Oryctolagus cuniculus: one gene and its partners. The protein of the gene in region 1 purifies or fractionates together with the protein of each later gene. This does not show direct contact. Links are inferred from orthologs where the notes say so. Each region holds a gene or a part of one and is shown on either strand. Other genes may lie near its edges.

Region 1 (4,017 bases):
GGCAGCCGTATTTCCAGCTGCAGGGAATTAACCGTAATTGTTGAAGGTAATCATTAGGCTTGCTGCTTGGAGTTGGGAGCTGGCAACCGACAGAACAGGCAGGGGCCGTGGGTGCCCGGTGGGCTGGGAGACAGGGTGCAGGAGGACCCTCTTACCAGGATTTAACCAAGGGGAAGCTGACTTGGGGGAAAGAGCTCAGAGGTATCAGCTAAATGATACATCACTGACTGATGGGAAGTGAGGCTGTAACTTTGTATTAAGCCTGACGTTCGGTTGGCAAAAATGTAAAAAACTCTGTCATCTTTTTCTCAAAAAAAATTTTACCTTGGCAAATAAGTTGCTTTTCACTTAAAATGTTGTTTCCTATTACTACGGAATGAGTTTTAGTATTTTAGATGAATGAATACATTTTTTAAAATCCTGGTTTAGTTTCTAATATAGTAACTATCGATGAATGTAACTCACAAAAAGAGAAGTTCTTTGGTGTCCTCAATAATTATTAAAGTTGTAACGGCTCTCGAGGCTAAAATTTTAAAGATAATAAAGAATCAGGAGGATTAATTAGCTGTTCAGCTGCACTGTTGAATAAACGCATAGGGGCCCTCCCGCGTCGCACCTTTGGAGTCACCAGGAGACACAAACCTCACATCCTAAGGGCAAGGCCCTGCGTTCCTACCTCTTAGGGAGCGCCCGTGTCGGATGCCTGAAAACAGACTTCCGGGCCCGCCCTCCAGGTCCCGGCCCGGCCCGGCCCGCCCGCCGCGCGCCCCCTGCCGTCCGCGGTCGGCGTCGGCGCCTCTGTCCGCCCGCAGGGAGACGCCTGTCTCTTTAATTGGCATGTACCAAGTCCTCCCAGGTTACGCTTGCTCCCCGAGTGCCCGCCGTGAGGAATCATTGGTCGGAGGCCCAGCAGGAGGGGATGAGGAGACGGCGTTGGATTTCTTTGGGAGTCCTGGGCCGGTAGGGCGTGAGAGGGGGCCCGCGGGTGACCGCACCGTTGCGGCCCTCCCCGCCTCGCCCCGTAGTCCAGTCCCAAGATGGCGGCCACCATGAAGAAGGCGGTGAGTGGGGCGCCCGGGGACCGGGCGGCGGCCGGGGTCGGTCTCGGGGGCCGGGGCGCGGGATGCCGGCGGTGCGCAGCTCTGGGGGCCGGAGCGGTCCCGGGGCCGAGGCCACCAGCCGTCAGGGCGGTGCCGCTGCGGCGCCCGCCCGCGCCCCCGGCCCCGGGGCTTTGGGGGGTGCTCTGGGCCGCCTCTCGCCTCTCCCTTGGGGACTCCAGCGGTCCGGGTCTTGCCCCCGGCAGCGGCAAGCGACCGCCTATGGCAGCCGCGGGCCTGACGCCCAAGGTGGGCTTCACCTGGGTACCGCGGCAGCGCTGCCGGGGCCGGGGGCCGGGGGCCGGGGGCCGGGGGCCGGGGGCCGGGGAGGCACCTGTCCGAGCGCGCGGCCGGGCGGAGGCCGGAGCGGGCCCGGCGTCCGCGTACGGGCGGGTGGCTGCGCCCAGCCCCTGAGTCTCCCGACGGGGCCTCACCGCCGGCCGATTATCGTCCGAGCTCCCCCTCCTCGCTGATGGGGAACCGTAGACGGCGGCGGTTAGTGGCTCCCAAGTGACTCAGCTGCCGCGCAGGGCTGGAGCTCGGCATCTGATCCATTTCCCTCCTGGGCTCCTCTTCTGGGAGGTGCTTTGGATCCTTATTTGGCAAACGAGCAATCCGAAGCGCAGAGGCCAAACCAGGGATTAGGCATTGCAGCTGTGGCGTTCTTAACTGCGGCGGGGGTCTCTGCTGCGGACCCCCCGGTCTTGGGCGCGTTTGCCTTCGTCCTAGCCCTGGGACCACGTTAGGACGTCCTTTGCTCTCTGACTGCCCAGCACCGCACAGTCCATGTGGCCTGGGCCTGGGCCTGGTGTAGGAGGCGCCCAGCCGTCCCATTCTGCAGCTGGGGATGAAGGGCTCACCCTCCTGGCCTGCCCCTGCCCCCTCAGATGCTTACGGAGCACCTGAGAAGGGGCCCCAGAGCCAGGGAGATGGAGACAAGCGTGAAACGTGAAATTCACTTCACCTGTGCTTGGTGAAATTGGGCCCTTTGTTAAGTGCGGGCTTTCATTCCACGGGGGATACCAGCAGTGGTGCGGCCGGCGGAGGTGGGGTGTGGAATGCAGAGAGCAAGTGAGCATTTGAGAGAATGGTAAGAGGATGATCTGAACCCTGAGCGCAACATTTCTGGGACCACCCTTTTTATTTGTTCCCTGCGGTTTTTGAGCAGGGCACATAGCAGAGTCCGTTTTAAGGGACTGACAGTGATGAGCACTTGGAGTTTGCATCCCCATTGTATTGTTCGCTTGTTAGGCTCTTGGAGAGAAGCAGGCAGCACCGAGATTGTCCCTCAGAAAACTCGCTTCCACCTCCAGCGAGAACTGAGGGAAGCCGAGAGGAGGTGTCATTTGAAGCCGAGGTCTGAGATTACACAGGAGGAAGGGCAGAGGTGCAGAGCAAGTGAGGTTCAGAGAGGGGGAACCTTGTGCAGTTGGTAAAAGGAAGGCAGACAGGGTAGGGGGTGGGAAAACATGGTGAGGGACCGGCGGTGGCCAGTTCATGAAGGGTCTTGGGAGCTTGAGCTGTCTGTGTTTCCCTTTGAGTTTAGTAAAAAGTGTATCCTTTGCAACCTGGAGTGCTTTTCGCTGGCTACATGTTAGCTGCCTCCCACTAGTCATGGCTTCGCAGGTGAGAACCTTTAGTGGAGATGGCACAGTTCTCCCCCTTAAACGTCTGCTTCCTAAGCTTGCTTCCTGGCCGTAGGAGTCTCCTAGGTACGAATGTCCCCAGGCTCAGAAAGGCAGTCTTTGACCTCTCTCTAAAGAAGCTGCCTTCACTCCCCAGCTCCCCAAAACCTTCAGCCCCTAATAGAATGAATTTATTTTTACTGTCACATTTATCACTGTGTAATGTTCTCTTGTTCACCCTGTTTTTGTCTGCCTCTTCCACCATGAGGCTTGTCGGTGTTCAGGAAGGTAGGACTATGACTCCTGGCGCTTAGGAAATACTAAATAGTTGCTACATGAGTAGCTGTATGCATGAAAGGTGAACAAAACACAAAGCAAAAATTTATATCATATGGACTTGGTAGGCACCTTTCAGAAATAAAAATAAAAGCAGAATGAAATTAACCAGAATTTCTTTCTGAAATGCAGCTGTCAGTGCAATCTGGGTGACACCCATGGTTGATGAGGGGCGTGACTGAGTATGGCTCCATTTCCTCCTGAAATCCCATGAAATGCTAATTTCAGGAAAAGGGCATAGTCGGAGCCCAGGGAATTTTAATTTTCAGTTACAGAGAGATCTTTCATCAACTGGTTCCCTCTGCAACTGACCACAATGGCCAGAGCTGGGCCATTTTCTGCTGCTTTCCCAGGCACGTTGGCAGGGAGCTAACTGGAAGTGGAGCAGCGAGGACTTGAACCGGCACCTATGTCGGATGCTGGCTTAACCTGCCCTAACCCTTCACCTTGTATCTTGTCATATTTTTTTTAGGCCTAGCACAAGTCTAGGGGTGGACCTCTTGTTCCTTTGAAGTGATTTTTGGTTCGCAATATTGAGGAAAATAAGTGCTGACCTCTCATTTGTTGGTCCCAGGCCCTGGGTATTTTTTCACCCCAGCAAGGTGGGAACTGACTTCTCCATTTTAAAAACATGAAGTGATTCCAAAGAATTGAGTGATTTGCCCGAGGTTCCTATGCTTGGATTGGAACCTTTCTGACTGTGCCCCTGTGCGCCTCAGGTATCACAAAGTAACTTCCTCCTCCAAGAGCTCCTGCCTTCATGAGTGTGGTAACAAAGGTGGCTTCTCTTGAGGCAGGAGCCCCTAACCTGCTACTGTGGCTGCTTTGAGAATCTGAGTTCTGGAAAAACGCACTTCCTGCACACACTGTTGGGCACAGAGTCTCAGGGGGTGACCTGACCTCTCAGTGTCTGTGGACCCCAGTTAGGAACTGTCTGTGCCCAAAGGCAGTTCAGGAAA
Region 2 (4,087 bases), about 49 Mb from region 1:
CCACGTCGTGCAGCTTGCCAGGGACGTACATCTGCGAGGCAAGGGTTAAGGGGAACCAGCCCAGCATGAGCCCCGAGTCCCTGTGGGCCAGCTGCTTGGCCTCCTACGGCTTCTTTCTTTCTTTTTTAATTAATTTATTTGAAAGGCAGAGTTACAGAGAGAGATCTATTCACTCCTCAAGTGGCCGCAACTAGCCGGCTGGAGCTTCTTCTGGGTCTGCAGGGGCCCAAACACTTGGGCCATCTGCTGCTGCTTACCCAGGCGCATCAGCAGGGAGCTGGATCAGAAGTTGGCCAGGACTGGCGCTGTGGTGTAGTGGGGCTAAGCCTCCACCTGCAGAGCCAGCATCCATATGGGTGCTGGTTCAAGTCTCAGCTGCTCCTCTTCCAATCCAGCTCTCTACTGTGGTCTGGGAAAGCAGTAGAGGATGGCCCAAGTGCTTGGGCCCCTGTACCCACGTGGGAGACCTGGAAGAAGCTCCTGGCTTCAGGTTGGCGCTGCTCTGGCTGTTGCAGCCATTGTGGAGTGAACCAGTGGATGGAAGGGCTTTCCAGTCTCTGTCTCTCACTCCCTCTGTCTGTAACTCTGCCTCTCAAATAAATAAATGTCTTTTTTTTTTTTTTTCTAAAGAAGTGGAGCAGCCAGGACTTGAACCAACAAAGGCGGGTGCTGCAGGCCGTGGGTTAATTTGTTGCACCACAGTGCTGGCCCTGACCGTCTTTTTTTTAAAACAAACCACAAGGGGTAAGGACTGAGTAATCTGGAGGCCTTAGAAATATGCCTGAAAGCCAGTGCTACAGCCCACTAGGCTAATCCTCCGCCTGCAGCGCCGGCACCCCAGGTTCTAGTCCCGGTTGGGGCACTGGATTCTGTCCCGGTTGCTCCTCTTCCAGGCCAGCTCTCTGCTGTGGCCCGGGAAGGCAGTGGAGGATGGCCCAAGTGATTGGGCCCTGCACCCGCATGGGAGACCGGGAGGAAGTACCCAGCTCCTGGCTTCGGATCGGCGCAGTGTGCCGGCCATAGCGGCCATTTGGGGGATGACCCATCGGAAAAAGGAAGACCTTTGTCTCTCTAACTCTGTCAAAAAAAAAAAAAAAAAGAAAGAAAGAAAGAAAGAAAGAAAAGAAAGAAGAAAGAAAGAAAAAAGAAAAGAAAAGAAAAGAAAAGAAAAGAAAAGAAGAAAAGAAAAGAAGTATGCCTGAAGCCCCCAAAAGGCAGCCGCAAAGATGCTGGCTCCTTTTGGAGAAAGCTGGCTTGTGCTGGAACTCTAGCCCCGACTCCATCTCCCGCCCTCCAAGCGATTGTTGTAACTCCTCCCAAGGACTCCTCGGCAAAGACTGGATTTGGTGATGGTCTCCCCCTGCCTGGAGTGGACCCCGTGAAGAGCCAGCTTCATGTCCCCTCATCGTCCCCCATCACGAAGTGGCTCATGCCCATTCACTGCTACACCGCCGTTCCTGTGCCCTTTCCCAAACGCCAGCTACGCACCGCAGGTTCGCCACTGCCAGAACCTGCTCATTCCAGGTCAACCCCCAGCAGGTGAGCCTAACCCAGGCTCCTTCCAGCAGCTGAGGAATGGGCCACGGGGAAAGTGAAATTTAGGGTTAATGAACAGAGCCAACCTCCCTGTTTAATACTAGCAAAAGAAGATCAGCTTTTTCTTCATATTCATGGCCTCTAACAGCATGGGGGGGAGACCACAACTCTACATACCATATCCCTTGGCACTCAGAAGGCATGAGCTGGATGTCGACCTGAGGCTACGAAGTGTGTACAACAAGAGCCCTCTCAAAATCACTGGGGGGAGGGGGTAGCCAGTAAAGCCGCTGCCTGCAGTGCCGCTTCCCATGTGGGCGCAGGTTTGAGTCCCGGCTGCTCCACTTCCAATCCAGCTCTCTGCTGTGGCCTGGGAAAGCAGTGGAAGATGGCCAAAGTCCTTGGGCCCCTGCACCCGTGTGGGAGACCCGGAAGAAGCTCCTGGCTTCGGATCGGCACAGCACTGGCCATTGCGGCCAATTGGGCAATTAACCAACGGATGGAAGGCCACTCTCTCTCTGCCTCTCTCTAACTCTGCCTTTCAAATTAAAAAAAAAAATCAAGGGGGAGTTCTACGGTGTCCGCCCCGCCCCCGGGAGGCGGCGCGGTAGCAATCCCAGTGGAAAGGATACGGAACTTGTCAGTGGGACGAGCAGTTCTTTCCCTGTGAAAGCAATGAAGACAAACAGCGTGGGCAGGCTGGCAGCCGTAAAGGGAGTTCAGAGCCCGGCAGCATGCACAGGGCGCGTGCAGCGGCGCTCAGCGCGCAGCGCCCGGTCCTCTCGCCGCCGCGGTCCCCGCGTTGCCCGCTCCTACGCCGCATACCCTCGTTGCTCTTGTTCAGCACGTTCAGACAGTCCTTGGCTTCCACGTACTTGGTCTGTACCACCTTGAGCTGGGCGATGGACGTGGACAAGAACTCCACCTCCTACACGGGACGGGAAAGCGGGGCCGGCTGAGGACCCGGGGCCCGAGAGGGGCGGACCCTGGGAGCCGGGGAAGGGAAACGGCTCAAACTGGAAAGGAACGGGGTGGGGGGCGAGAGGCTGCGTGTGGCCGACGGGATGTGGAGCGCGCGAAAGGTGTTGCTCGGGCTCCATCCCCACCTGATCCAGCTGGTTCTTGAGCATTTCTAGCTGCGGCAGGTTCAGCTCCGTGATGTTGATCGACTGCGCCATGTTGGGACGGAGGAGTAGCCGAGAGGAAGCCGGCCGCGTGAGCGACGCTCTAGCCGTCTCCTGCGCGTCTCTATGGCCGTGCCCGGCGGCCTCGCTGCGCCGGACGTCTCTATGACCCGCAAGGGAGGGAGGCGCTGGAGCCGCTCAGGTGCACCTTGTGTTGAGAGTCACGGGATAGTCTAAGCCTAGTCCAATAAAGTTGTAGCAAGCCATGATGCCTGTCCTCCAGGAAGTTGAAAATCCTGAAGTGCTCAGGACACAGCCACAATCCTGTAAGGCAGCGTGTAAATCTAGTGACCGACAGCTGTGTGCGTGGTGGGGGGCAGCTGGTCGGGCCCCTTGTCCCTTGTCGCAGAGGAGCATCATGAAAATGCTGCTTGGAGCAGACGCAGGGGAGAGTCTGGAAGTGGAGAGGATTAAAAAGCCGCAGTCTGAACGTCACACAATAAATGTTTTGTGAACTGTGAAAAATTGAAAAAAAAAAAAAAAAAAGCCACAGTCAGCCAACAAGCATAGCACAAGGTGTCACTCCGTAGCATGTGTTACCTGCGCTAGCTAGACGGAGCCTGGAACGCCATCCTGGTCGGCCGCATTGGGTGCTGGGCCCAAGTACTTCAGTTATCATCTGCTGCCTTCAGGAAGCTGCATTGGAAATGTAGAGTAGCTGGGACTCAAACCAGGTGCTGTGCTATGAACACATCTTGTTTCCTTGGAGCCCAGAACCTACATGGGTTATTTCCTGGGGTTCTGGCTTACATGTGGGTGTGTGTTCTGGGAGGCCAAGGTCTATGTGTTGTTTCCTAGGATGCCCGGAATTCCTGATGGGAATTGAATCCAGGCACTCCAAGGTGGGATACACCCACCTGAGCTGCTAGGGCAAATGTGGCATAGCAGGTTAGGCAGCCGCCTACTATGACAGCATCCCAAATGGGTGCTAGTTTGAGTTCCGGCTGCTCCACTTCTGATCCAGCTCCCTGCTAATGTGCCTGGGAAAGCAGTGGGAGATGGGAAGATAGCCTGAGTCCTCGGGCCCCTGTGTGGGAGACCCAGATTAAGCTCCTAGTTTTGGCCTGGCCAGCCCTGGCCATTGTGGTCACTTGGGGAGCAAACCAGCAGATGAGATCTCTCGCTCTCCTCTTTCAAATAAATTAAAACTTTTTTTTTTTTTTAAAGACCTATTTGAGAGGTAGAGACACAGAGAAAGGTCTTCCATCTGGTTCACTCCCAAAATGGCTGCAACAGCTGGAGCTGTGTGGATCCAAAGCCAGGAGCTTCTTCCAGGTTTTCCAATGGGTGCAGGGGCCCAAGGACTTGGGCCATCTTCTGCTTTCCCAGGCCATAGCAGAGAGCTGGATCGGAAGTGGAGCAGCCAG
Region 3 (4,222 bases), on another chromosome or scaffold:
TCTAGCAAAGTTTCAGAAGATTTACTTTGGGGAAGAAGAGATGTCTATATTTCCTATTAAATACCACTCAAAAAAATAGCTTATGAAGACATTAGGAAATAAAACTGATACACGGAGCCAATGCTAGGGCACTGAAGGTTGAGCCTGCAGCAATGCCATCGAATTCTGGCTGTTCCACTTCTGATCCAGCTTCCTGCTAGCTAGGGTGCCTGAGAAGGCAGTGGAGGATGGCTCAAGTCGTTGGGCCCCTGCACCAACATGGGAGACCAGGAAGAAACTCCTGGCTTTGGCCTGGCCCAGCTCCACCATTGCAGACATCTAGGGAATCAATCAATGGATTCTCTCTCTGCTTCTGCCTCTCCCTCCCTTTCAAATAAATAAATCTTTAAAAAAGAAAAAAAAAAAAAACTGATATACGTTTCCTTGTTAATTGGTTGTCAAAATTATTCAACTTGTCTATAATTTTTTTTTTTTTTTGACAGGCAGAGTTAGAAAGTGAGAGAGACAGAGAGAAAGGCCTTCCTTCCGTGGGTTCACCCCCCAAATGGCCGCTGTGGCCGGTGTGCTGTGCCGATCCAAAGCCAGGAACCAGGTGCTTCCTCCTGGTCTCCCATGCGGGTGCAGGGCCTAAGCACTAGGGCCATCCTCCACTGCACTCCCGGGCCACAGCAGAGAGCTGGCCTGGAAGAGGGGCAACCGGGACAGAATCCGGCACCCCAACCGGGACTAGAACCCGTGGTGCCAGCGCCGCAGGCAGAGGATTAGCCTAGTGAGCCATGGCGCCGGCCTATAATTTTTTTCTTAGTTTGTATTAATTGTTTACTTGTTTCTTATCAATAAATTCAAAGAGTACTGGGAAGCAAGCCCTTTCACAGTTAATACTTTTGATAGTTCTTCATCAAAATCTTGGTTTCTGCAGCACCGGTTCTAGTCCCAGCTGCTCCTCTTTCAATCCAACTCTCTGCTATGTCCTGGGAAAGCAGCAGAAGATGGCCCAAGTCCTTGGGCCCCTGTACCCACGCAGGAGACCTGGAATAAGCTCCTAGCTCCTGGCTCCTGGCTTTGGATGGGTTCAGTTGCGGCCACTTACGGAGTGAACCAGTGGATGGAAGGCCTCTCTCTATCACTCCCTCTCACCTTCTGTAATTCTTCCTCTCAAAAAAAATATTTTTTAAAAAATCTTGGTTTAAGGCCAGCGCAGCGGCTCACTAGGCTAATCCTCCGCCTAGCGGCGCTGGCACACAAGGTTCTAGTCCCAGTTGGGGCGCCGGATTCTGTCCCGGTTGCCCCTCTTCCAGGCCAGCTCTCTGCTGTGGCCAGGGAGTGCAGTGGAGGATGGCCCAGGTGCTTGGGCCCTGCACCCCATGGGAGACCAGGAAAAGCATCTGGCTCCTGGCTCCTGCCACCGGATCAGCGCGGTGCGCCGGCCGCAGCGGCCATTGGAGGGTGAACCAACGGCAAAGGAAGACCTTTCTCTCTGTCTCTCTCTCACTGTCCACTCTGCCTGTCAAAAATAAATAAATAAATAAATAAAACTTGGTTTAAGTTTACACTTTTAATGGAAAAAAGGGTAAATTTTTCAGAAAACACAATTTTATTCTGAAATGTAAAATTTCAGGTATTTTCTGACTGTTCTATACAGTTTATGGAGGAAGATATAGCCAAGATATTAGAGAACAGCATGTAAAAGCAACTTACAAGTTTCAAGACAAGAGCAGCAGAAGAAACGAGACGCAAACACCTTTAAAACAGTAACAGCTTCATTTAATAAGAGCTATTTCAGCTGCCCTATTTCTAATGCAAAGACTGTTCAGATGTTTTCCATGAAGAACTTAAACTACTGGTCAAAAAAACCTGTAAGAGAACATGGTATTCTAATTCCACTCTTTGAGACTTCTCTAGAGTTGTTTCCCTTTCTAGAAAAGTAGATTTAAATCCTATGCAGTCCAGGGTCCTTTCCAATCCGCCCTCGCCCCCCAAAGCACACGTTTTGAGTCGGCAGTGGAGTTAGAATCCTGACTGCTCTCCGGTACCAAACATTTATAAGCAATTGTTTGAACAGAAGAAACGCAATTCCTTCTCAAAATGCTTTTATTTGGCAAACTCTGCTGCTCCTTTTTTTAGACAAGCCCTTCGCAAAAGGAGGGGAGGAGGAGAGGGGACAATGCCTTCCTGCGGCTTTTCAAGGTACAGGATGGGAATAAATGGCTTTAAAACAGGTGTTGGGTTTTTTCTCCCGAATTAAATGAGGCAGAATTACACACGCCTCAGCCCCAGGCAACCGCACCAAAGAGGTTTTAAGACGTTGTCTTCTGTTCTTACCATGAAACTGAGCCCCTGAAGGCTCCAAACGCAACGAAATAGCTCTGGGGCTCAGAACAAACGGGTAAGCTCGCACTCGGACCCGGCCCGGCTCAACTAGCTCCCACCCAGCAAGAGCCGCTAGCTGCCCACTCGGCTCAAGGAGGCCCCGCGGCGCCTCAGGCCTCCGGGAAAACATTCCCCAGTCCTCCAGCGCCTCTTTGCTCCCGCAAACATTCAAGCCTCACTCGATATTCCTGTCCACAGTCCCTTCGGCCTCCAAAGAGAAGCCTCTGCCTGCTCAAGACCCTCTTTTACCTTCTTCAACTCCAGATCCACGGGGGCCGCCATCTTGATGCACCCCTCTGCGCCTGCGCATTGGAAGAAGGCCGGAAAGGGGTGGGGGAAGGGCTGCGTTTTGATGGGTCGCCCTCCTAATGCGCCTGCGCCTGCGTGCCGCTAATCGGGTTTGTTTCCCTGTTGCGGAGCGGGTTACTCTAAATATTCAAGATTCCGATTCAATTTGTCTTCCCTTGCTGACCTATCAGGTCTGGCTTGTTCCTCCACATCTTCCAGACACAGCCCAACGTGTAGATTTCGCTTGTGGCTTTGAACAGTTTGATAGTTTTTCTACTCAATTGAGAAGTGCGTGGATCAGGTCAAACCCTCATCAGTTATTCAGTCCTACAGCTCGTCCTGTGCTGTCAGAGATGAGTAAGAAGGGACCCCAGACCTCAGGCCTAACCATATGGAGAAGACTATTAGAAGGCTTGGGTTTTCCACCAAAGAACTCATTTCTACTGAATGCTCCCAAAGACTTTCTAGATTAGAGATTCTCGAGGGAGGTGATATGTTTGATTTTTGGAAAAATTTTTGGAAAAATGTTTAGTACAGTGGCTAAGACATCAGCATCTCATACTGGAGTGTATGGGTTTGAATCCTGATTAGGCTTCCAATTCTGGTTTCCTGCTAATGAACACCCTGAAAGGCCTTAGTAATGGATCGAGTAATAGGGTTCCTGCCACCCATATGGCAGACCTGAATTGGCCAGCTTTGTTCTGGCCAATCCTGGCACTTGAGGACTTTTGTAGAATGAATCAGTGGAAGGAATCAAGATTTCTCTCTCTCCCTCTCTCTCTCTCTCTCTCTCTCTCTCTCTTTCAAATAATAGTAATAAATGTTAAATAATATAGATTCTTAGGTCTCATTCCAAGCTTATTCAGAATCTTTGAGGGCTTAAAAATTTGCAATTATCCTAACTCCCCATGACCTGGTGGCGCAAAAGTTGTCTACAGAACACATTTGGAGAACCTCTGCTATAAAAGGACCTAGCATTTGAAACAGGCAATTGGGTTTGAGTCCCGGCTGCTCCACTTGTGATCCACCTTTCTGCTGTGGCCTGGGAAAGCAGTAGAAGATGGCTTAACTCCTTGGGCCCCTGCACCCGTGTGGAGACCCAGGGGAGGCTCCCGGCTCCTGGCTTCAGATTTGCTCAGCTCTGGCCGTTGCGGTCATTTCCGGAGTGAACCAGCACATGGAAGACCTCTCTGGCTCTACCTCTCTCTGTAACTCTGTCTTTCAAATTAAAAAATAATAATTCTTTAAAAAAAAAAAAAAGAAAGAAAGAAAGGGACCAGCGCCGCGGCTCACTAGGCTAATCCTCCGCCTAGTGGCGCCGGCACAATGGGTTCTAGTCCCGGTCGGGGCGCCGGATTCTGTCCCAGTTGCCTCTCTTCCAGGCCAGCTCTCTGCTGTGGCCAGGGAGTGCAGTGGAGGATGGCCCAAGTCCTTGGGCCCTGCACCCCATGGGAGACCAGAAGTACCTGGCTCCTGCCTTCAGATCAGCACGGTGCGCTGGCCGCAGCGCACCGGCCATGGCGGCCATTGGAGAGTGAACCAGCGGCAAAGGAAGACCTTTCTC
Region 4 (3,867 bases), about 19 Mb from region 1:
CTTCATCTAGGCCTCCCACGTAGGTGTAGGGGCCCAAGCATTTGGGCCATCTTTTGCTGCTTTCCCAGACCATAGCAGAGAGCTGGATTGGAAGTGGAGCAGCCAAGTTTCTAACTGGCGCCCAAATAGGATGCAGGCATTGTGTCTGCCCACGTTTCTGATCTTTGCTGGTCCCGTTTCCTCCCTGGATGTCTACACTGTCACTTTGGTCTCTGCTCAAATGTCACATAATCAGAGACCTCGAACCACTTGGTATAAGCGTCCCTCCCCTAGCATCCCCAATTCTTTTTAAACTACTTGACTTTTCACACACCTTTGCTTATTCCCTCTGCACTCTAGCCTGAACACGACGAGTGCAGGCGCTTTGTCTTGTTCTGCTGTGTTCTCAGTGGTTAAGACAGTGCTGGAAGGTAGTAGGTACTCGGGAAGTGGTAAAGGAGTGACCGCTTGCTGTTTCAGAGGATGTGACGGTGTGCTTCGGGAGCATGTTTATCAAGATGCCGCACCCTCAGACCAAGGAGATGATTGAGAAAGGTAAGGAAGGCCTCCTCGGGGTGGGCCAGGGCCGTGGCGCTGTTCTTGGGGGACACATTCTTAACCCAGAACCGAGCTGGAGCCTGGGCAGCTGTGTTACAGTTCACACTGGTGTGGGCTTTAACCCCTGCCCTGCCCTGGGCCTGCTGTGTCGCACAGCACAGTGCCTGCTCATCAGAGAGGAACTCGTTGGGTTACAAGTAGCAGAAAACCCAACACATTGAGGCTTCAGGAAAATAAGGATTCGGGGTTTCACGCATGAGAGATGCCGCAGAGGAGGGCAGGTCAGGACCGGCACAGTTGCGCAGCGTCGGCACCTGAGCGTTTCCCGTGCGTCATTACAGACTGCGTGTCTTGCCAGGCTGGAGGAGAGGCTGGAGGTTCTCTACTGTGGCCTTTCTTTTTAGAAATAAAGCCATCCTTCCCAGGGGCTTACTGCCAATACCTTATTGCCCAGAACAAGTCCCATGGCACTCAGCTGCAGAAGACCCTGGGACCGTGAGCTTTTATTTTTCCTGTTCACTGCAGTAGAGACTGTTGAAATGGAGGTGTGGGGAGAGTGAACCTAGGAGTGAGGACCGTCCAGCCTTCAGGCACATTTTGGTCTGGCCCTGCCAAGGCAGCTGCAGGTGGGACTCGGAATTCAGTAAGTCTGTAGGAGGCTAATTAAGATTATTTCAAAGAGTTAGGTCTTCCATTCCACTGGTTTACTCCCCAGATGACCTCAAAGGCCAGAGCTGAGCTGAGACCAGGAGCTTCCTCAGGGTCTCCAACGTGGGCACAGGGGCCCAGGGAGTTGGGCCATCTTCTTTCACAGGCCATATCGGAGAGCTCGATCAGAAGAAGAACTGCCAGGACTTGAACCAGCGCCCATATGGGATGCTGGCACTGAAGGCTAGGCTAGGGCTTTTGTTTTTTTTTTGACAGGCAGAGTGGACAGTGAGAGAGAGAGAGAAAGGTCTTCCTTTGCTGTTGGTTCACCCTCCAATGGCCGCCGTGGTCGGTGCACTGAGGCCGGCGCACCGCACTGATCCGGAGCCAGGTGTTTTCTCCCATGCAGGTGCAGGGCCCAAGGACTTGGGCCATCCTCCACTGCACTCCCAGCCATAGCAGAGAGCTGGCCTGGAAGAGGAGCAACCGGGACAGAATCCGGCGCCCCTACCAGGACTAGAACCCGGTGTGCCGGCGCCGCAAGTGGAGGATTAGCCTATTGAGCCGCGGCGCCGGCCTGAAGGCTAGGGCTTTAACCCTCTGTGCCACAGTGAAGGCTGCTAGGAGGCTAATTTTTAAGTTGATTTTATAAGGCCCACGAATTATGTTTTATAAATATCCACATTACCCTAGACAGAAATAAAGGTTCCCACCCCTGCTGTGGGGTCTGCGAGTCTGGGCACTCAACATGTGCCACTCGAGTTTCTAAAGACCATTAGATCCTGGGAACTCTGGAAAAGTATCTTAAAAGCACGAACTTGGGCTGCAAACAGCTCCCTGGCTGGGAAAAGGGCAGGTCACTCCCACTGGGAGTCGGGGCCTGGCCTGTTTTGGGCAGGGCCTGGCCTTCCTCAGTGCTCTGGGAGCTGGCAGCCCCACTTGCAGGTCAGTCTGTCCAGTATGGCCTTACCGTCTGCCTGCCTCTTTCAGATCAGGACCATCTGGATAAAGAAATAGACAAACTGCGGAAACAACTTAAAGTGAAGGTCAACCGCCTCTTTGAGGCCCAAGGTATTGGCTGCGGGGCCGGGGTGGGAAGCCCCTCAGTGGTGGGCAGTGGCGGTACAGGCAGTGGCTGTCTGCAACCACCCAGAGACAGAGTGGGCTTAGTCAGGGGATCGAGGTCAGAGCTGAAACTTAGAGTAGATCGAGCACTCCAGATCAGTCACAGATCTGGCAAAAATCTGGAGCTCTCTGGGTGTGCAGTCTCATGACTTTGCAGGTTCGTGGTGACCCAGGAGCAGGTGCATTGCAGAATTTGAGGCCCATCCTGCCAGAACCCAAGGCCAACTTTGGCAGCATTTGTGCCGTGCTAGCCGCTTTCCTGGGCCTGTTGCCAGAGCCAGCAGTAGGGTGGACAGCAGGAGGCCCATGTGCTGATGGATTGCTTTCTCCCTGTAGGTAAACCGGAGCTGAAGGGCTTTAACCTGAACCCCCTCAACCCAGCTGAGCTTAAAGCTCTCAAGGTCATCTTGAAAGGATGAAGCTCAGGTACCACCGTGGGGGAACTAAGACTGGCGTCCCCCGAGTCACGCAGGAGCCAGGACTCCCTAACCTTGAAAGCTACAAGGACGGCTGTGCACTGGCAGCAGCAGGCAGCCCTCTGGGGCACCATGCGAAGGCTTCATAGTGCTGGGCTACTTGGTGATGGCAGGAGGGCACCTCAGCCCACCTGTGTCTGCTGGGCCTGACGTCTGTGGCTCGGAGGACACAGGACCTATTGACAGGCCCTGGCGGCTGCAGTGGGTGTGTGTGGGTGAGTGACTGCACCAGGCACTTCCTGACAATGGCCTGTTGTTCACATGGCGCCGGGCAGGAGAGGCAAAGCTGGATCCTTGGTCCAGCCCTCGTCTCAGGGGAGATGCCAGGCAGGCAGCATCCACGGTGGAACTGGAATAGAGCAGGTGGCTTCTGAATGAAGGACACTCAGTGCTTTGTGCAGCTCGGGGGGCGTGCGCACATGCGTCCCCTGCTGGCCCCAGGGCGTGGGTGCTGCTTAGACCCCTGTGGGGGAGGGGCGCCCCTTCATCACCACTTAGAGGCCTGGCTGCCTTCAGCATCTGGGCTCCTCATGGGCAAGAATGTCCTGCTTGTGGAGGACTCAATAAACAGTAGTAAAACAGTCGGTTTCTAGCGCTTTCTCACTCGGTCCTCCATGGAGTGCGCACCAGTCCTTTGAGAACCCCACATGGGGGCAGCTGTTGAAGCATCAGGTAGGAGACTAACATCCCATGGCCAAGTGCCTGGGTTCCAGACTCTGCCGCCAATCCCAGCCTCCTGGCTGATGTGTACTTTGGGAGGGAGCAATGATGGTGCAGATGCCTGGGCCCATGCACAAGGGAGACGCGCACAGGTGGATTTCCAGGCTCCCGGGATCAGGCAGCAGGGACTCACAGCTGACAACGTGCAGAGGGCACACTTTGCCCGTTCCCCTTGTTCCACGGCCTGACTGACTGTGGTAAGGACAGCCTGGTAGGACCAGATCAAGTATTTTTCAAGAGCTAGAAATCTGGGTTGCTGAGTCTCCCGATTCAGAAAAACATGTAAAAACGTGGGTGTTTGTCGAAACACCTTACAGGAGAGGCCTGTAGAAGTGACGCATTCCTCACGATAACCCTCTGA
Region 5 (4,042 bases), on another chromosome or scaffold:
GGTCCCCACCCAGTGGCTCAGATAGGCGTAGCGTCTCTGCAGGGTCCCGTGCAACGAAGTCAAATGCCTCAGGCAGGAAAGCAAGGCAAGCACCCAGTCTGGCAGCCTCTCGAACCAGCTCAGCACACGTTTTAAAGTTCTGTTGCTTGTCTGGTGTTGATGTTACCTGGCACACAGCCACCAGGGGCAGTTCCCAGGAGGAAGAGGAGTTAGCCATGGCTCTGGACCTGTGAATGCCACAGGCAGGATTGTCAGATTTCCTAGCATGGGGAAACCCAAGTTTAATAAGCGGCTCAAATGAGCAGGCAGGGAAGGCTGGACTTCGTTTTGACTCTGCTCTTACAGTCCACGGTGATCCAGGGTTCACAGATCCAGTGTTCTTTGGATGGTTGATACCTGAGTCCCACCATCCATTTAACAAACACTGAGCATCTACTATATGGCAGGCACCAAGGACACAACAAAATATGTTACCTGGGCAGAGCACAAAGTACTGAGGGTCGAGGTGTCCGGAGTCCAGGGCACAGAAAGGACAGGAGCTGGTGAGGAGGCCTGCTGATGAAGCCCAGCCTGAGGAAGATGAGAAATCAGGACACCTAACCCTGCCCTCAGAGAAGACATTTCTAGGATTCTGTCTTCACCTTCACACTGTGAAGCTCAAACAGGGCCCTTCCATTAAAAACTAACACCCCAGTCCTTAAAACACTCTCCACTGCAAGTTCTATGGGCGACGGGGGAAGCTCAAAGGTGGAGGGTGGGGGAAGGGGCTGGCTCCGTGCCTGACTGGCTCAGCTCCCAGAGATCTCACATTAAGCTGAAGCCCTTTGGTCTGCCAAGCGTTTCCTCAGTTCAGAAGTCATCTCGGGGAAACTTCCTTGGTTTTTCTAAGCCTCTCTTCTTGGCTGCGCACTTGCACAGCTTTAGTAATTCAAAGCATATTTCCCTCCCCACAGCGGCATCTCTTAAGAGAAGCATACCCTCCCTCGTAGCCCACCACCCCGAAGTGGGGAGAGGGCACAAGGAACCCAGATCTCAACCCGCGCCCCCTCCCCGCTCGAGTTAGCCCATCTTTCCCGCCTCTCCCAGGGGCAGCATCTCTGTTGCATAGGTAAAAGCACCCTAGGTGGGATTCACCGCGGCCGGCGACTTAGGGAGTAGGTCCTACATGAAGATACAGCCAAAACCATTCGCAGGGTCGGATCCGTAGAGCTGCCTGGAGTCAGCGGCGCCGCGGCGAGGGGGCGGTAACTCCCAGCCCGGATGTGACGCAAGGCGGGGCGGGACTGAGCCGCTCAGGCCGGAAACCCAGCAGGCGGCGAAGATGGCGGAGAACAGCGGTCGCGCCGGCAAGAGCAGCGGGAGCGGCGCTGGGAAGGGGGTGGTGTCGGCCGAGCAGGTGAGGAGCTAAGAGCGCGAAGGGGGGTCCCCGGCTGTGTCTGGAGCCGATACGTCTCAAAAAGGGGTGGCGGTGGCTGTGGCTAGTGCAGGCCTGTACTGCAGCCCCACATTTGCGAGGCCACCTAGAGAGGGGAGGGTCCTTGGAGAATCTGGCGGAGCCCCCGGGGAAGACTGTAGGCGGGTGGGTAGGTGAGGGCCACGCCCCTCGGGGGTGTTGGGTGAGCCTGAGGGTGGGGTTGGGGGAGGGAAAGCCCAGAGAGGCAGGGTGTGGGAAGATACACACAGGTCTGAGGGGAGATGAGACGTCGCTTTGCGCACCCCTCCTCGGGAGCCCCAAGCGGGATAGGGCTGGGCATGGCAGCTGGTCTAGAATCCCACGGAATGAGTAAGCGGGCTGCTTGTGTAGACCGTTACGTGACCCTGAAACTGCGTTGATGATCGCCGTCACCCTGCAGAGCCACGTGACTCACATACTCGAACCGTCCGAGTGTTCTACACTGTTTTGATTCGGGAGTCATTACCAGATTGAATTTCTCTGGAGAACAGAAACCCTTCTCTGATCTGAATTTGCTCCCCGCCCCGTGCCTAACATCGGAAGCGTTTGATAAATTGATCAGAAAGCCTTTTGAAACTAGGGAACAGTGGCTTGCTAATAATGGGGCTAATCAGAGTGGGAAGAAAGCTACACAGAAATTACAGCAGTTAAAAGCTATTTTCATTCTAGGTTCGTTTATGAGTTTTCCACAGTTAATGCCCGCAGCAGTTTCTACATAAGGATTTAAAAATTGTCCCTTGCCATCAAAGAGCGGGGTTTGGTGAGGTAAATAGGACATACAAAATGCTACTGTGAGGCAGAAGATGTATCCTAAGAGATGTACAGTGGCATGGGGTTTGCAGGCAGGTGGAAAAATTGGTTTCAGACTTAAGAGGAGAAGGGGGGAAGGGAGAAGAAACCTGATATGTTTTCAGGGTCTGCCCTGTGCTAGGCATTTTCTGGGTACAGGGAAACAGATAAATAGAGCTTGCCTTCAAGTGATTGACACTCATTTGAGAAAAGGCAAAGGTTTATAATGTACTCTCCTTTTTTTTTTTTTTTTTTTTTTTTTTTTTGATGGCCCAGGGAAGAGACCCCTAAACTAATCCAGAGGGTATGGGATTTAGGGGTGGGGTGGTGGCTAAGAGCATTTTTTTTTTTTTTTTTTTTTTTTTTGACAGGCAGAGTGGACAGTGAGAGAGAGAGACAGAGAGAAAGGTCTTCCTTTGCCGTTGGTTCAAGAGCATTCTTAAACACTGGAGTCAGACAGATCTGGGTTTACTATTTATGTATGACCTCCTTTGAGTTACTCAGCCTTCTCAGTCTGTAAAAAACATAGTAGTAACTAGCTGATCACTGTATTGAGAGTATTAGGTAAGGCAATGCATATAAAGTATTTTTGCACAGTGACTAGAATGCAGTATGTTTAATAATTTCTGGTTAGCTCTTCGAATTTTATGTTTATTCTGAGGCACAGAGACAGAGCTCCCATTTGCTGTTTCACTACCAAAATGCTCACAGCAGGCCTAGCTGGCACTGGGGCTGAAGGTAGGAATCAGGAACTCAGTACAGGACTGCCATGTGGGTGGCAGGGACTCAGCCACTTGAGCCCTCATCTACTGCTTCCCAGGATGCTCTTTTTTTTTTTTTTTAATTTGACAGATAGAGTTAGACAGTGAGAGAGAAAGACAGAGAGAAAGGTCTTCTTTCTGTTGGTTCACCCCTCAAATGGCTGGTACGGCAGGAGCTACACTGATCCAAAGCCAGGAGTTAGGTGCTTCCTCCTGGTCTCCCACGCAGGTGCAGGAACCCAAGCACTTGGGCCATCCTCCAGTGCCTTCCTGGGCCACAGCAGAGAGCTGGACTGGAAGAGGAGCAGCTGGGACTAGAACCTGGTGCCCATATGGGATGCCGGCGCTGCGGGTGAAGGATTAACCAAGTGAGCCACGGTGCTGGCCCTTCCTAGGATGCTCTTTAGCAGGAAGCTGGACACTGGAGCTGAGCCTGGACTAGAACCCAGGCACTGTGATGGGAGATGCAGGCATTCCAAGTGGCATATTAACTGCTAGGCTGAATGCCTAGCCCAGCTTTTTTCGGTTTGTTGTGGTTATTATTTTTTTTACTTACTTTTTAATTTGAAAGAAGGATCTCCCATCCACTGGTTCACTCTCCATATGTCATAACAGCTGGGTCTGGGCCAGGCTGAAGCAGGAGCCCTGAACTTGGGTCTCCCACATGAGCAGCAGGGACCATTACCTGCTGCCTCCCACAGTGCGTGTTAGGAGCCAGTACTTAAGCAGTGTCTTAACCTCTGTGCCAAACACTTGCCTCACAGCTTTTGTTTTTTTATTCTCTTAGGAGAAAATTCTTTAGCTCAGCTCCAAGGAATGAGAGAAGTTAGTCAAGCAAAGATGGAAGTGCAAGATTTTCAGGGTGTGGAGAATAATGTGTTCAAAAGCACTAAGACATGAAACTGCCTTGTATGTTTGGGATGCAGAGGGACTTAAAGTTTGAGGTGAATTCCAAGACTTTGAATGTGAAGAAAAAGGTATAAAAGAAGAATATAGGCTGTTTCTCAGGTTTCTGCTGTGTTGGATAATGGTACTACAG
Region 6 (3,052 bases), on another chromosome or scaffold:
GTTATTTTGGTACAGAAGCTTTGGAGTCATGCATGTGATGGGTCTTCAAAGAGTACATGGAAAATGCATGATTCAAAATGTCTTGCATGGAAATATTTTTATTGAGAAGCAGAGTCAAAAGCCCCCACCTGCTGTAACCCAACCTTTTATTTCCATTTTCCCATGAGCCCTACGGAGCACTTGTATTCACAGCAAGGGGAGGAGTCACATTTCATCCTGGGTTCTCAGAGAATTCTGAGTTCTTCAATTTAAACGACACTCCCAACAATATGCTTAGGTTGTAAATGTCCTTGTGTTTCCTAAAAGGCCGTGTCTTAGGAAAATAACGGAGAATTAAGGGCTGTACATACGAGTACAGGTGAGGAGCAGCTTTGAGACATTTTAGAGTTTAGTTCCAGAGACTGCAGGTGCTGGAATGTGGGCTTGAGGGAGTAACAGTGGTGTGTGGTGTGTGGGTCAGGTGATGGAGGCCGGGGGAACAGACAAGCAGGACAACAGAGCCAGGTGTTTACATTTTATTAGGTACTTAGAGTGGCCCATCCCACCCCGCCCCGCCCCGAGGTCAGGCCTTCCCGGGAGCCCCTGCCTTGGCCGCCTGGGCCCGCTGGAACTCCTGCTGCAGCTGGGCCAGGGTCTCCCTCTGCTGCTCTGACTGCCGTTCCAGGTCCCGGAGCTGGGATTCGTATCGCTTACTGAGGAGAGGCCAGGGGCCAGAGAAGACAGGGAGAAGTTAGAGGGACTTGCTAGGGGGAGGGGCAGGCCGCGTTAAAAGGGGAGGCTTCCGTGGGCTGCTCCGAAGGGCAATCCACTCAGGTCCCCAGCACCCGCCGGCCGACAGCCAGGGCAGTGGGACAAAAACTCACATTTCAGCTGTGATGTAGTCCAGCCTCTTCCCCACCGTGGCCCGCGCCTCCCCCAGCTCCTGCTTAACCAGCACCGGCCCCAGCAGTTTAAAGACCACGTTGGACCCGTCCAGCAGAGCCAGTTCCTGGTGGGCGAGCGGGACGGGTCTGATCAGAACCGCAGCCGGTCCAGGCTGCTCCGCCCCCACAACTCCCGGCCCCTCACCTCCTTCACGATGTTGTTTTCCGTTAGTTGGGCTTCAAGCTTCTGCCTCCCTGACATGGATTTACTCAAGTCTAGGGAGGAAGGGAGACGTGAGTGGGACACCAAGAGTGCCACGGGCTCCCACAGTCCTGGCCCAGAAGGCGGATGTGAGGAAGCAGACCGGGAAGAAGGGGCGAGTATACAGGCGGGGAAGGAGCGGGCCGGCTGGGGCGGAGAGCTCGTTTCGGCTAGTCTGCGGGCTGCGGCGAGACTACGCCCACCCGGTCCCTTACCCTTCTGTAGCTGTTGATACTTCTCCACTTCTCCCTGCAGCTTCTTCTGGATCAGCTCGGCCATGGCGGGGATGAAAGCCTGCGGGAACGGGAGAGGGGCGCTGGGGTCGAGCTCCCCTTTCTGGTCGGGCCGACGGAAATGACAGTCCTCTTGAGAGGCAGTCCTTCGGGGCACCGCGGCCTCTCCCTGTCCGGGAAGTCGAATCGACCCGACCCCAGTGGGTGCAGGACGAAAAGAAACGCAAAACCCCTGAAACGGTACCCTAACCTACTCACGTTCTCCCTTCTGTATTAATCAACCCGGAAGTAAACATGGAATGCTGGGAAAATCAATCCGGAAGTTGCCTCCAGGTTGCATGTCGGGAAATGTAGTTCTAACATTTTTAATAAGCGGCATTCGGCTGAAATGACTGGACTCAGAAGGTTTTAGGCAAGACAGAGAAGTTAATCCGGAAAAAGACTATTCTGTTACTGGTTTCTGGCCCGGACTTGACTTTTTTTCCCCATTCCTCGGGTATAAGCTGCGGCGCCCGAGGGAGATGCCACAGCACGCCCCGCCCCTTAAAGGAGAGTGTGCCCTCACTCAAGATGGCGTGCTCAAGACTTCAGCCCTGGAACGATGCTGATTGGCTGAGGCGGAACAGAGGACTTCCGGGAGAGTCTAAGCCGACTGTGGGACAGCTGAGAGATTTGCACGTGGATCGTTGTTCCAGTGGGCGAGATGGAGACAGTCCCAAAGGCCAGTCAGGATGCCCCACCCAAGAAGGACAAACCTCAGGCCAAGAGGAAGGTACAGGCTTCTCTGGACGGGCAGGGAGGTTTTAGCTGTGGGGTTCGGGGGCGGGACGTGGGCCGCGGAGTTCCAGGGCTCCTGATCTGCCCGTAGAAACCGCGGCGATACTGGGAAGTGGACACCACTCCGAGCGCCACCGGCGCCTCTCCAGGCCCGCCTCCTAAGAAGAAGCGGAACCGGGAGCTCCGGCCCCAGAGACCAAAGAACACTCAGGTCACAAAGAAGTCGCGCATCTCCAAGAAGACCCTGGTCGCGAGGAAGTCTCGAGGGCCGAAGAAGCCGGAGCCCCAGCGGAGCTTGTCTGGGGTGAGCCTGCACCGCGGCAGGGTGGCGGGGGCAGGTTTCTCTGTGCTTTGCGAGTGAAAGGGTTGGGGGGTCAGCCCGAAGCTGTGAGCTGACTGCCTCCTCTCTGCCCCAGGCCCAGGACCCCTTCCCGGGCCCCGCCCCCGTCCCGGTGGAGGCAGCCCGGAAGTTCCGTCGCATTGACAAATCTAAAAAGGTGAGAATCGCTGGACGGTGGGGAAGGACTGGAGGCTGGGAGCGCCTGGGTGAGAAGGATGGAGGTGGGGCCCGGTGGCTCTGCTGTGATTCTCCGTGTTCTCCCTCCGCTCCTCCTCCTCCTCCTCCTCCACTCCCAACGCTGTTGTAGCTGCCGCCTTCCAAGTCCAAGACGCGCAGCAGACTTGAGGCAGCTGAAGCTGAGGAAGAGGAAACCAGCGTCCAAGCTGCCCGCTCAGAGTTGCTGCTTGCTGAGGAGCCTGGGTGAGTGGACCCCGACCTGGCCCTGCCGGCCCTCGTCTCGCGGGATTTCCCTGCCTCGTTTTATGTTGGTGTGCCCACTTCATAGAGGGAGCTTTACTGCAGTATGGACGCTCTTCCAGGTTCCTGGAAGGGGAGGATGGGGAAGACACAGCAAAGA

Evidence for each region.
Region 2: the proteins of PFDN4 (region 1) and PFDN5 purify together in Homo sapiens (affinity purification with mass spectrometry; 5 studies listed by BioGRID and IntAct, counting the BioPlex papers as one, with this or other methods). This does not show direct contact. The link is inferred for Oryctolagus cuniculus from reciprocal best matches to the Homo sapiens genes PFDN4 and PFDN5.
Region 3: the proteins of PFDN4 (region 1) and PFDN1 purify together in Homo sapiens (affinity purification with mass spectrometry; 5 studies listed by BioGRID and IntAct, counting the BioPlex papers as one, with this or other methods). This does not show direct contact. The link is inferred for Oryctolagus cuniculus from reciprocal best matches to the Homo sapiens genes PFDN4 and PFDN1.
Region 4: the proteins of PFDN4 (region 1) and PDRG1 purify together in Homo sapiens (co-immunoprecipitation; 3 studies listed by BioGRID and IntAct, counting the BioPlex papers as one, with this or other methods). This does not show direct contact. The link is inferred for Oryctolagus cuniculus from reciprocal best matches to the Homo sapiens genes PFDN4 and PDRG1.
Region 5: the proteins of PFDN4 (region 1) and PFDN2 purify together in Homo sapiens (affinity purification with mass spectrometry; 6 studies listed by BioGRID and IntAct, counting the BioPlex papers as one, with this or other methods). This does not show direct contact. The link is inferred for Oryctolagus cuniculus from reciprocal best matches to the Homo sapiens genes PFDN4 and PFDN2.
Region 6: the proteins of PFDN4 (region 1) and PFDN6 purify together in Homo sapiens (affinity purification with mass spectrometry; 6 studies listed by BioGRID and IntAct, counting the BioPlex papers as one, with this or other methods). This does not show direct contact. The link is inferred for Oryctolagus cuniculus from reciprocal best matches to the Homo sapiens genes PFDN4 and PFDN6.

Annotation. Positions count from the first base shown.
Region 1 is NC_091442.1:7,288,885-7,292,901, reverse strand, and holds the start of PFDN4 (prefoldin subunit 4), read left to right. Parts: upstream 1-1,217; 5' UTR 1,218-1,319; coding exon 1,320-1,346; intron 1,347-1,727; exon of another isoform or gene 1,728-2,184; coding exon of another isoform or gene 2,185-2,187; intron 2,188-4,017. UniProt on the Homo sapiens protein: Binds specifically to cytosolic chaperonin (c-CPN) and transfers target proteins to it. Binds to nascent polypeptide chain and promotes folding in an environment in which there are many competing pathways for nonnative proteins.
Region 2 is NC_091442.1:56,307,226-56,311,312, reverse strand, and holds the start of PFDN5 (prefoldin subunit 5), read right to left. Parts: upstream 2,801-4,087; 5' UTR 2,715-2,800; coding exon 2,643-2,714; intron 2,465-2,642; coding exon 2,362-2,464; intron 2,201-2,361; coding exon 2,169-2,200; intron 32-2,168; coding exon 1-31. UniProt on the Homo sapiens protein: Binds specifically to cytosolic chaperonin (c-CPN) and transfers target proteins to it. Binds to nascent polypeptide chain and promotes folding in an environment in which there are many competing pathways for nonnative proteins.
Region 3 is NC_091437.1:27,961,788-27,966,009, forward strand, and holds the start of PFDN1 (prefoldin subunit 1), read right to left. Parts: upstream 2,801-4,222; 5' UTR 2,653-2,800; coding exon 2,620-2,652; intron 1-2,619. UniProt on the Homo sapiens protein: Binds specifically to cytosolic chaperonin (c-CPN) and transfers target proteins to it. Binds to nascent polypeptide chain and promotes folding in an environment in which there are many competing pathways for nonnative proteins.
Region 4 is NC_091442.1:25,807,318-25,811,184, forward strand, and holds the end of PDRG1 (p53 and DNA damage-regulated protein 1), read left to right. Parts: intron 1-459; coding exon 460-534; intron 535-2,175; coding exon 2,176-2,256; intron 2,257-2,646; coding exon 2,647-2,729; 3' UTR 2,730-3,367; downstream 3,368-3,867. UniProt on the Homo sapiens protein: May play a role in chaperone-mediated protein folding.
Region 5 is NC_091438.1:37,686,125-37,690,166, forward strand, and holds the start of PFDN2 (prefoldin subunit 2), read left to right. Parts: upstream 1-1,242; 5' UTR 1,243-1,321; coding exon 1,322-1,396; intron 1,397-4,042. Other genes in the region: NIT1 (deaminated glutathione amidase), read right to left, coding at 1-227, 475-570, 1,135-1,187. UniProt on the Homo sapiens protein: Binds specifically to cytosolic chaperonin (c-CPN) and transfers target proteins to it. Binds to nascent polypeptide chain and promotes folding in an environment in which there are many competing pathways for nonnative proteins.
Region 6 is NC_091436.1:135,834,645-135,837,696, forward strand, and holds PFDN6 (prefoldin subunit 6), read right to left. Parts: upstream 1,663-3,052; 5' UTR 1,405-1,662; coding exon 1,341-1,404; intron 1,140-1,340; coding exon 1,069-1,139; intron 989-1,068; coding exon 864-988; intron 693-863; coding exon 563-692; 3' UTR 501-562; downstream 1-500. Other genes in the region: WDR46 (WD repeat-containing protein 46), read left to right, coding at 2,062-2,130, 2,227-2,439, 2,552-2,632, 2,783-2,895, 3,015-3,052. UniProt on the Homo sapiens protein: Binds specifically to cytosolic chaperonin (c-CPN) and transfers target proteins to it. Binds to nascent polypeptide chain and promotes folding in an environment in which there are many competing pathways for nonnative proteins.